Cricetulus griseus: one gene and its partners. The protein of the gene in region 3 interacts with the protein of the main gene of each other region in a biochemical or structural test. Links are inferred from orthologs where the notes say so. Each region holds a gene or a part of one and is shown on either strand. Other genes may lie near its edges. The genes, in order: Fbxo21, Nr0b2 and Eid1.

The links.
Region 1: of the proteins of Eid1 (region 3) and Fbxo21, one has a biochemical effect on the other in vitro, tested with the Homo sapiens proteins (2 studies listed by BioGRID, with this or other methods). The link is inferred for Cricetulus griseus from reciprocal best matches to the Homo sapiens genes EID1 and FBXO21.
Region 2: the proteins of Eid1 (region 3) and Nr0b2 form a complex in vitro, tested with the Homo sapiens proteins (3 studies listed by BioGRID). The link is inferred for Cricetulus griseus from reciprocal best matches to the Homo sapiens genes EID1 and NR0B2.

Annotation. Positions count from the first base shown.
Region 1 is NC_048597.1:97,899,508-97,903,153, reverse strand, and holds part of Fbxo21 (F-box only protein 21), read right to left. Parts: intron 3,333-3,646; coding exon 3,121-3,332; intron 1,673-3,120; coding exon 1,515-1,672; intron 1-1,514. UniProt on the Homo sapiens protein: Substrate-recognition component of the SCF (SKP1-CUL1-F-box protein)-type E3 ubiquitin ligase complex.
Region 2 is NC_048595.1:19,710,329-19,714,666, forward strand, and holds Nr0b2 (nuclear receptor subfamily 0 group B member 2), read right to left. Parts: upstream 2,933-4,338; coding exon 2,392-2,932; intron 672-2,391; coding exon 430-671; 3' UTR 168-429; downstream 1-167. UniProt on the Homo sapiens protein: Transcriptional regulator that acts as a negative regulator of receptor-dependent signaling pathways. Specifically inhibits transactivation of the nuclear receptor with which it interacts.
Region 3 is NC_048599.1:52,887,965-52,891,702, forward strand, and holds Eid1 (EP300-interacting inhibitor of differentiation 1), read right to left. Parts: upstream 2,399-3,738; 5' UTR 2,180-2,398; coding exon 1,706-2,179; 3' UTR 573-1,705; downstream 1-572. UniProt on the Homo sapiens protein: Interacts with RB1 and EP300 and acts as a repressor of MYOD1 transactivation. Inhibits EP300 and CBP histone acetyltransferase activity.

The DNA of each region.
Region 1 (3,646 bases), on a different chromosome or scaffold from region 3:
TGGACAGCATGTGGAGTGTATCTGCAGGAGCAGGCAGGGTGGAGCAGCAGTTCAGGAGAAGAATGTGTAGGAGCTACCCCAAGATCACAGAGCAGAGAGCCCAGGCTGGAAGTCCAGCACACAAATAAAAGGGTTCACGAGGTCACTAGAAACAGGATCTGGCCCAGGGAGGTATGTGAATACCTATGTGTGGCTGTGAAGGAGTTCCTTGCCACCCTTGCACCCCACAGCCATCACACAGCAGCCCTCAGGAGAAGCCATAGTCCTGTGGCCAACAGAAGGGCCTCTCAAGGGAAACCAGCCAAAGCTAACATAATCACAGCCACTCCTATGCCACCCAGTCATTGGACTGCAGACTTTTGTTTCTTCTTACACTGTGACTGCAAACTACTATCCCATGTGTGTGCACACACACAGTGAGGTGCACTGAGGCATCAGCAGGAACCATTCAGAACAACTAAAGCTGAGTGCTCACTTTACAGATTGCATCAAGCAAACACAGTATACGAACTATTTCTATAAACCTCAATATCTGATTTGAAGATGTTTACACCCACTCTGAGTAGGGTGGACAACTGCTACACCCAGGACGCCACAGCCAGGAGTCATGACTGATGACAGAAAGCCTTCCTCACCTGTCATAGAGCAAAGCCCCAGGCCGTTTTTAAATCACGGTGACTTTCAGAAATGGAGAGCTTTGATTTTCACTGGAGTTAGCTTCAAAAGCCGAAGACTGGCCTGTGGGAGCCTCCAGAACACTCTGGGAACATGTGGCCCCTTTACCTTACCCCAGGAACCCATGGAGGAGGTGAGGCACCTACAGACATATTGGATGGATCCTCCTGGCCTCCAATGGGTCACAATCACTCATGTGAGGACTGTTCCTGTTATCTGAAACCGTGACACTCCAGACCTCAGTATTTTTACCCCTGTATGGGCAGAACAGGTCTGTTGGTTCAGGCCATAGCCCATCACCAGACTCCTGGCTTCATGTCCTCATGGTCAAGGTAAAGTGGAGGTGGCCTGTACAAGCTCAAGGCTCTGCATGTATGAAACGCCTGGGTCTCAAACAGACTTAGCACCCATGAGGGCACACTGTTCATCGCATCAGTATCCACACCTTCTCTTATTAATAAACCAGTGTGCTCCTTGCTTTCAGGTGTATGAAAGTCAAAAGGGACACAGACAAAGGCTCACACTACAGTCATTGCTCTGACTCTTCAATTCCATCTGTTCCCAGCGCTGGCCAGTCAGGTGGCCATGGCCTACCAAAGGTCACCAAGCACAGAGTTTGTACAGGGGACTGCAGTTTTCACCTGTGGCCACATGAGGGCGACAGGGAAGTCAGGTGTCTGGCTAGTGAGGACAGTAAGCAGTGCTAGAACAAGGACCTCGTGTTGGTGTGCCTGTGTGTGACTAGCTATGGACAGTTGCTACCCTGTATACACTGGTGAGCTCTCCCTATAGCATGGTCAGCCAGGGATGGGTGGAGATACAGCAAACAAACACCTTACCTTGGGCTGCATATCTACAGGAGCCATCCTCCACCAGCACGTTGTAGAAGGGCTGATGGTGGCCATGAGGCAGACTGTGAACATTCATGTTGCGGATCCACTCATGGCCCATCATGCAGGTGGGGTCCCAGCCATAGATCACACAGTTGTATCCATACCTGTGGAGCACGGGAAGATGGCAAGTGAGCTCCTGGGGAGCCTCAGAGCTGCGGAGGAGTCAGGAGAGGCAGGCTGGGGTTCTTCCATGCCCTTTGTTCATTACCTACTGCTCTTACCCCATGTGGAGTCACTTTTAAGAAATCCTGTCCCTCTTTACAAATCCTACTCTCACCATCAACAAAGCATTGTATCTGGAAAATAATCTTTTTTTTTTTTTTTTTTTTTTTTTTTTTTTTCTAGACAGGTTCTTACTGCATAGCCCTGGCTGTCCTGGAATTATGTAAACCAGGCTGGCCTCCAACCTCTTGCCTCTGCCTCCCCAGTGCTGGGATTAAAGGCGTGCGCCTTCACCACCCAGCTTTAAGAAAAACATTGGAACAGAGCAAGAGACTACCTTTGGTAAGAAGAGGATAATAAGAGTGAGAAGGGGAGGGGCTGGAGAGATGGCTCAGAGGTTAAGAGCACCAATTGCTCTTCCAGAGGGCCTGAGTTCAATTCCCAGCAACCACATGGTGGCTCACAACCATCCGTTATGAGATCTGGTGCCCTCTTCTGGTGTGCAGATATAAATGGAAGCAGAATGTTGTATGCATAATAAATAAATAAAATCTTAAAAAAAAAAAAAGAGTGAGCAGGGGAGCCCCCCCCCTTCCCTCCAACTGAATGGGTAGGGTGAATGTGTGCAACATTAACTTCATTAGTCCAGAACTGAGGAGGGAAGTGGTGGTTGTGGTGTTCACTGCTACAGCCAGTACACTAGGAGCACAAGCTGCCTCACGTGCCCTTCTCTCCACTCTTACATGTTTGGAAATTTCTTTAAGGAGTTGAGAAGAAAGCATTCACTAAATGAATGTCTCAGAGACAATGGAGGGGTAGGAAGTAGCCACATGCCAACAAGGAAGACCGTGTGGCCAGATGGAACTGCCTTTGCCAGTGAGGGAAAAACACTACCAAGTGTCACCTGCTCCTGTCACATGAGCACACCAAGGTCATGCTGTGGGGACAGTAATCACAGTTTGTAGGTTGCTTGTGGGACATGAACCTGCACCAGCACTCTGGAGTTAAATTCTGCCTGGTGAACAGACATGGGCAGAATTATACCTCAGGAAAGCCCTGCTAACCCAGATCAGAGATGGCAGGGGACAGAGAAGGGACAGCAGAAGGAGGAGCTGGGGCCATAGCTCAGTGAGCTTCTAGTTTGGTCAATCCCTAGGCTCAACCCCCAGAGCCCCATACAAACTCTAGGAGCAGTCAGAGTTCATGAAAGACATTATACCTCACAGTTAAAAGCTGGATGCAGGCAGGGGCCTGCTGTCTGGCCTGTGGGGGTGCTCAGTGAAATGACCTGAGGTACCAGGGTATGCCTCTGGGATCCTCTTCCCTCTTCAGTGTGGCTGTGGCCCTGGCAGCCTGTGGGCAGCCACAGAGGCCAGGAGCAGGTACTCACCTCTTGTGCTTCATAACGAGTCCAATGGAGTAGCAGACATCTCTGTGCTTCTCCTCAGAGCGCAGCTTCACCTCCACGCCTACCTCCTCCTTCTTGCGCTCAATGTGCTCTAGTGTGTGCTGCACTAGGTAGCCCACTGCCCCGTGCTGCCCAGGGTCAAGGGTCTGGATGTGCTGGAGGATATCAAGCACCTTCAAGACAAGACAGAAAGACTAGGAGATAATATTTTCGCCAGGCCTTTTCTTTTCCGAAGCGTGGGATCGACACCTACCCATGTACCCTGACAAAGACCAATGACGGCATGCCACTTGTGGACCAGGAGTCGTAATGGGTCAAACATTTCTTGGTTAGCGCCAATACCCAAATACCCAACGCTTGATCCAACAAAAATCCACCAGGATCCAGTCCCCATTCACATACCACTTCCAGGAGCGGACTCCTAAAGTGGGGATGATCATGGCATTTGTCCTTTGTAGCTGACAGCATCCCATCTAACAGTGAGCCTCTGTGGATTCTGCCGGAAACT
Region 2 (4,338 bases), on a different chromosome or scaffold from region 3:
TCATTCAGTTGTAAAATAAACCTTGTCCCCAGCATTGAGGTCACTGTCCCTCTCTAGAACACTAAGGAGCTGGTTTCTGCTTACATTCCAGGAGTTCCATCTGGCAAGAGGAGCATGCACCCTGAAGAACGGCTTGCCCCTTCCATAGGCAACCGTGGTGTCAGCAGGTCATACCTTTTATTACAAAAATCAATAACTTAATTGAGTTCTATACAAAGTCAGGAGGAATTCTGGCCTGAAGTACAGCCTCATTCATGCTCCCATCTCTGTCCCTGGCCCAAAGACTTTGGGGGGCCACCAAGGACCTATTAGGCAGTTAGTATACTGTGTCCAAACCAAGGAAGTCCAAGCTGGGGGCATGGCTGAGGTGAGGGCTGCTCCTGGGGAGTTGAAGCTCCCCTTTGGAAGCCCTGGATTCCACTCTGCAGGTCACCTCAGCCAAAGCATGTCTTCCAGCAGTTCAGCGATGTCAACATCTCCGATGATAGGGCGGAAGAAGAGATCCACCAGAAGGCTGCATGAAATGTTCTTGAGAGTAGAGGCCATGAGGAGGATTCGGGCCAGGCGGCCTTGGCTAGCAGGGTACCAGGGCTCCAGGACTTCACACAAGGCCCAGTGAGCCTCCTGCTGCAGGTGGGAGATGTGGCAAGAGGCATGGAGGCCTGGCACATCTGTGGCAGAGAGGGTGAAGAGGGCTGGTGAGCAGCTGCTCCGTGGAGGCTAGCCCAGGGTGTGAGAATGTTAGTGGCTCCCCCCCTCATATGCCGGGGTGCAATGCAGGGCCTCGTGCATACTAGGGCATGCTTGGCAGGCATTCTACATTTGGGCTGAACATTGCTGGTTCCTTTAACATGCCAGGCGATAGTTGTACCACTGAACTACATTCCCAGCCCTTACAGATACAGAAGAGACCTAATTGTTTGGTGGTGTTAGGCAACAAACCCAGGACCTGTAGCTCGGGAGGTAATACTTTACTAATGAGTTCCACGCATTGGCCCACTCTGCCACCTTGGAGGTTTCAATCACCATCTCCTACATTTTATTCCATTTATGTGGAGATAAGGGCTGAGACATACGAGTTAGAGAGATGGCTCTGTGGTTAAGGGCACTTCCTGCTATGACTGAGGACCTGAGTCCGGTTCCCACCTACATTGTGGCTCACAACTGCCTATAATTCCAATTCCTGACACCCTCTTCCGGCTTCTGTGAGCTCCCACCAGATGATACACATACATACAGGTAGAAACTTACACACATAAAATAATATCTAAATAATTCTTTTCTTATTTTGTTTTTTGAGACAGATTTTCGAGGTGGTGACACACTTTTAATCCCTGTACTTGGGAGGCAGAGGCGGTTAGATCTCTGTGAATTCAAGACCAGCCTGGTCTACAGAGCTACTTCCAGGACAGTCAGAGCTGTTACATAGAGAAACTCTGTTTCAAAAAACAAAACAAAAAGCCAAAACCAAAAAAGAACCAGAGGCCGGTTGTTCGTGGCAGGCCTTTAATCCCAGCACTCGGGAGGCAGAGGCAGGCGGATCTCTGTGAGTTCGAGGCTGGCTGAATTTGAATCCCAGCACTGCCACTGTGAGCTCAGTGATCTTGGACAAGTAGTTTCATCTTTCTGAGTGACCTTAGATGAGTAGTTTAAATCTCTGTGCCTTAGTTTCTTCATCTATCTAGTGGGAACAATGACAATACTTGTTGCCCACTACTGCTGTGAGGTTTAACCAAATCACTATTTGTAAAACCCTTAGGCTAAGTCCTGACATATGGGAAATGCATGTGATTCTTTGGTACTGTTACTGCCGTTTGGCGTTACACTTTAACTTCCAAGGCCTGTCTCTTGTCTTCCTCAAAGTTACAAAGAATATTTTCCCATGCCAGGCATGGTGTTAGTTTGAGGTCAACTTGCTTTACGTAGTGAGTTCTAGGCCAGCCAGGGTTCCGTGGTAAAACCGCCTCATTTCTCCTCATCGCCCCTCACCCCACCCCATCTGCTCTCCACCCAAGAAGTGACCACTCCCCACCCTTCCATTCTTTCTGTGTGGCCGCTCTGAACCCACGGAGGACTTTAACCTTCAGAACTTCACTGTGCAGCCTGCCCTTGAAGAAGGCAGACACTGCACACGGCGGTGTCTGCCTTACCCACTCTACCCTTCCAGCACAGCGGCAAAGACCAATCTCTGCATTAGCTTGACTTGCATTCCCAGGCCTGTTCTGCCTCTGCCTTACTGTGTGGCCTTCAGGTAGTTGCTTAACCTCCCTGTCTCTCCTGGGAGATACCTGTTTGGAGCTAACAAGGACGCAAAGAGACAACGATTCTTTTCCTGGACGGGTCCTGTCCCCTCCCAGCGTGGCCCCCATCCAGGAGTGTCTGGGAGCTCACCTGGGTTGAAGAGGATGGTTCCTTTCAAGTAGGCATACTCCTTGGGACCCAGCTCAAGGCTCCAGAAAGACTCCAGACAACGCTGGAGCCACTGCACGGCAGCCAGTGAGGGCTGTGGCCGGTCGGGTAGCTGGGTACCCTGCGTACCACTGCTGGGTTCCTCCAGAAGGATTTTTTTAAGTATACTGGGCACTGGAGCCTCAGCTATCTCAAAGGTCACAGTATCTTGGGCCAGCCCAAGCAGGAAGAGAGGGCCCCAGCAGACCCCCAGCAGCCGTCGCTGATCCTCATGGGGCAGGTGGCAGAAGGACGGCAGGTTCCTGAGGAACGCTACTGTCTTGGCTAGGACATCCAAGGCCTCCCGGCAGGTGCGCTGTGGAGCACTCAGACGGACAGGCCGGTGCTGCTGGCAGAGGCAGTGGCTGCGAGATGCGGGTGCAATGGGCCTGGCCCTGAGGCTGGGGCTTAGAAGCGCGTACAGAATAGCAGGGCGGCCTGCAGAGCCCTGGCAGGGGCAGCCCCCAGACTGGCTGGAGTTCATGGTTGGTATCTCGCTCCTGTTTCTTCCCAGCTATCGGTCCTCTGTACTGTGAGTGCTATTTATATCCTCGATGGCGGGAGGGGGAATGGCCGTGGAACCTTGACTCCAGAAGTCATGTTCATTGAAAAAAAAAAAAAAGCCAACATACACACACAATGCACACATACACTGACCCTGGCAGGACCGGAGGGGGAGGGGCACTGGAGCTCCACGTGGCGTTGCTATCGCTTTAGTCAATGAAGTGGCCATTGCAGGGCACAGGGCCACCTGCCCACTGCCTGGATGCCCTTTATCGGATGACTCAGTGTATAAACAAGGTCATTAACCCAGGCTGTACCAGGGCACCAAGGTCTCAGGTGCTCAACCAGCCAGTGGCTGTGACTGCTGCTGTTTCGATTGGAGCCCACTTTCATGCACACAAGACCAGGGTTCTCACTGAGCCAAGGAGCCAGCCAGAGAAAGCCAGCTAAGGCCTTGAATGCCTGACCCAGCCTGGAAGTGCCTTATCGCTGCTGTGTTTGCCTAACCTTGGGGCTCTGCTCCTGTTGTCGGTAAGGAACAGGCTGCAGGGAAGGGAGCCAGGTCCCTGGGGGACTTTGCTCATTGTACAGTCTAGGAGGTACCCCCTCCTGTGACTCCAGTGCAGAGGCCCCGTTGGAGGAAGGCCATTCCAGAGCCCCCTGCTCCCATTCTGTGCTCCAATAGCTCCAGAGGGGCTGGGCCTGCTGGCCCTTGCAAAATTGTTACTTACAAGGCTGCCAGTTACTGAGGACCCACTCTATATGGATCACTTTCCCTTGTAATGTTGAGAACTTCCCAGAGAAGTGACCTGCTCAAAGTCACTCCAACCAGAAGGGACAGAGCACAGATATGTCTGACCTCGAAGTCATCCTTGTTTGCCCCTCCCCCCCCCCCAATCAACTGTGCAGCTGAAGTGTGAATTTCCCAGCACAGGTGGCTAGCAGCTACCCCCACTCCCAGCCCCCAGCCCCTGCCTGGTCTGCAGGTGTGGCCCACCTATGGTGCGACTGGAAACATCTCTGCTAACACGCCGCTTCTCTGCCCTGGATATTTGTCTTCAGTGGTTAGAGGCGAGGTATGAGGGAAATGGGAGGTCCTTGGCTGTGTCAGGTTCCTGACCTTTGGCTAGCCTTGCCTAGCAGGTTTGTTGTCGCCACACTCTTGGGCAACCTGGTGCTCCGGATGAGGAGCCCTGGCATCTGGTCTTGGCTCCATGATTCCCAGTCAGCTGCTCTCCAGGGTTCTGTGAGCCTTGGTGGAGACAATCAGGGCTCCTGTGGTATTGGGACTTGACAGAGCAAGGTTCTGTGTAGGCCAAGAAGCTGCCCCCACTCTATCCTTTAGACAGGCAGCCACACTGCTTTCACTGTAGTGCTGTCTACCTC
Region 3 (3,738 bases):
GAACCCCAGGTGAGGATCTAATACCTTGAGAGAGTTATTTCTCTCCCTCCACCACATGGGCTCCTGAGATCAAACTCTGGTCATGAGGCTTGGGTGTATGTCAGAAGTTGCCTTTACCCACCGAGCCATCCCACCTGCCCAGCCTCCCAAACAAGATGAATATAAAACAAATAAACCACCACCACCACCACCCCACCCCCAGCCAAAAAAATCCCGAGGAGTTATCCTACTGTCCTATATTCCCATCATGGCATAGGAACAGTCAGACTTTTTAATTCATCATAAAAGATGTGCTAATGAGTAATTTTTCTTGGCATGGCCTTTGATGCAATTACCACTCAAGGAACTTCAGCATCTTCACCAAATAACACACAGCAACATATATGCAGGGCAGGTTTCCGTAGGCTGGCCAATTCTTTCATTCTATTGGTCAGGTAATTAATTGAAAATGGTTTCATTTTACCATTGTAAGCACTGGCTGTTTAAATCTTAAGATGAATGCAGTGATACCACATAATAAAAGAATCTTGCTTAAATAAAGTATCTATGCAGAGCTATTAGACAAAACAAAATACACAGAACAGGAAAATTTATTATCGCCAATGCTGGTGCATAGGGACTAACAAGCATGATCAGAAGGAGGGACGGGGAGAGAGGAGGAGAGGGAGAGAGAGAGAGAGAGAGAGAGAGAGAGAGAGGAGAGAGAGAGAGAGAGAGAGAGAGAATATGAGTATCAGGTATCCAGGTGGACTTCTGAGCAGATTTAAAACCTCCAAAGTTTGACAGCATAATAGCTCATATAATCTTTTATAGGTACAGGTAGGGTTTCCTTTTACTTGACAATTTTTCACAAACAGTTCTTACAATATGAAGTTCAGCTATAGTCTTACCATCTGTCAAGGTAAAAAACAGTGAGTAAAAGTTCCCTAGTATAAAAGGGTATTTATTAGAAAGTTTGTCTTTGGGCTTTCCCATAAATTTTAATGCATGAACTTAAAACTTTAAAAAGATATCCTGATTGGCTTTTTTTTAATATGTAACTTTAAAAATCATCACAAGGGATTTTTCCAAATTACAGATCACAGTAGCTTTATAAATCATGAAGATACATGTGCAGTCAAATCCCAGCTTTTGTAACACATTTTAAGATAATAGTACACATGGTAACACACATCTACACTTATACACACATATTCACTTTGATTTTTCTTTGGGGGGGTCGATGAATACTCAATCTTAAATCTCAAATTTAGCTTTTGATAACTGATTTATATAAACCACAAAACAGAATTTGGAAAGTTTTCTCAACAGGCTCTCAGTTCGAATCAAAGATATCTTGTGGATGTATTCTTCTTCATTCTCTAATTAGATTCTTGTATTGGCAGTCACGATTTTTCTCTTGCAAAACCATTTTTACAAGCTTAACACGACCAAGTTCTTCTCCAACGCAGGGAAAAATCATCTCGTTCAACAGTCTGAACCAGAGCTTTTTTTTTTTTTTTGCTGAGCCCCTCCTTCCTCGATTCTCCTTTTCCAAGACTGCACGGTCACTCACTGTTTTGTCTTCTATTCCGGGAAACAAAAACCTTTTTTTTTTTTTTTTTTTTTTTTTTGTTTTTTGCACAAAACTAGTTGGAATGAACCCAAAAACAGCAGAATGTTGAATCTCTCCCTCTCAGGTAGTTTCCTCCTCTTTCGTCAGCATTTACTCTCGATCAATGATCTCATCACAACCGAGCTCTTCGGTCAGTCGATTGACAACCATCAGCGAAAACAGCTCTTCGATAAAGGCGAGCTGGTCGAAAGGGCTCTTCTCGCAGCGCGCCTGAAACCCGCCATCCAGGGCATCTCCGGCTCGCGCCGTTCTCAGGAACACCTTGTTGGCTTCCTCCAGCGCGGCAGACACCCTGTGCATCGCGCCGCTCCAGCGCTCCTCTTCTGGGAAGTCGTAGTCGTCCTCCCAGTCATCAAACTCGTCGCCCTCCAGATCTGCGCCAGCCTCGGGGAACAGGCCGCGCTGGGCGCGGGCGGCTAACGGCGCGGCCTCCTCCTCCATGGGGCCCTCCTCCGCGGGCCCGCGGGCCCCGCGGCCTACCTCCATATCGCCCTCGCCGGGCAGCTCGTCCATCAGCTCGTTGCTTTCTTCGTACAGCTCGCAAAGCTCAGCCATCTCCGCCATGGTGGAAGCCTCTTAAGTCAGCCAGGCGAAACGCTTCCACCGACACGGACGCGCGAACGGGTGTGGTGCGCGGGCGCGTGCGCGCGCGGACGAGTGGGTCGGCGTGGCGCGCGTGCGGGAGTGCGTGCCTGCGTGCGTGCGTGCGCAGACGAGTGGGCATGCGTGGTGCACTTGCGGGGGGCACGGGACACGCGCGCAGGCGAGTAGGCGGGCTGGGTGCGCGTGCCAGCCTGGCGCGAGGTGGGCGTGGTGCGCGTGCGTGAGCTCTAGACCGCTCTAGCCCCCCCCCTTCCACCACCACCTCCCCCTCCTCCAGCTGGGCCGGACTCCCAGAAGCTTCTGCTGGGTCTGGACCTTCCATCTGCAGACCCCGCTCTAGGTTCCTTGATGTTTGCTTGCTCTGTCACACTTGTCACGTCCCTGCACCGGAAAACACCGGGCTTCTGGGACAGACTGCCGCCTCTCCCCCACCTCCCTGCCTCCCCAACATCCCTTGGCAGTCATCCACCTCCTGCCTCCCCAGCATCCCATCAGTCATCCACCTCCTGCCTCCTCAGCATCCCATCAGTCATCCACCTCCTGCCTCCCCAGCATCCCTTGTCAGTCATCCACCTCCTGCCTTCCCAGCATCCCTTGTCAGTCATCCACCTCCTGCCTCCCCAGCATCCCTTGGGACCAGGACGTCCACTACTGCTCATCATTTCAAATCCACCTCGCCTGCCGGCTTGCGCGGCACGAAAATTCAGCTTTCCATTTTTTTTTCTTCCTGAATATACTGACGTTGACCTAATCGTGGACAAATTGTGTGTGTGTGTGTGTGTGTGTGTGTGTGTGTGTGTGTGTGTGTACGTACACCATGGAGAAAATGGAAGCCACAGTGTTCTTTTCTAGGCTCATAGGATATGCATATTTTAAATAAACATGGGTAATCAGGCTCACAATTGCTCTACAAACTTAACCTGCAGTGTTTGAGAATATTCACACCCTTGGCTCCTGTTGTTTTATTGAATTAATAAAATTAATTTCAGTTTTATCAGCTTGTTCTCTTTTATGTGTATGGGTGTTTTGCCTCTGTGTAACGCCCATGCACCTTGTGTGTGCATCACCTGCAGAGGCCAGAAGAGGATGTTCATCTCCTGGAAATGAGGTCACAGTTTTGCACTGCCCTGTAAGTGCTAGGACCCAAACTCTCTCCTTAGTGTGAGCAGCTGATGCTGTTTACTGCTGAGCCAGCTCTCCAGCCCTAAGATTGTATCTTTATAACCTTTCCATAACTTTAATTTATTAGAGGACAATGATCTTTCAGTAGGTATAGGGGGCATTTGCTTTCTTTCAACACATTAACAGGCCTTACTTTATGTTTGTTTTGCTGATTTGTAGGAATCCTTTGAAAATGTGTGAAGACACTATTTTTCACTTTACAAATTTATCCTTCAAGCCTGTATGCTTTAAGGAGTCATATATAAAGCTTTTAAAATTAGTTTGTATGTAACCAAATACTTTCTATATTTCTTTTTGTACTATTAAGATGGATTTTCCAACTTCAGCAATATGCCTTG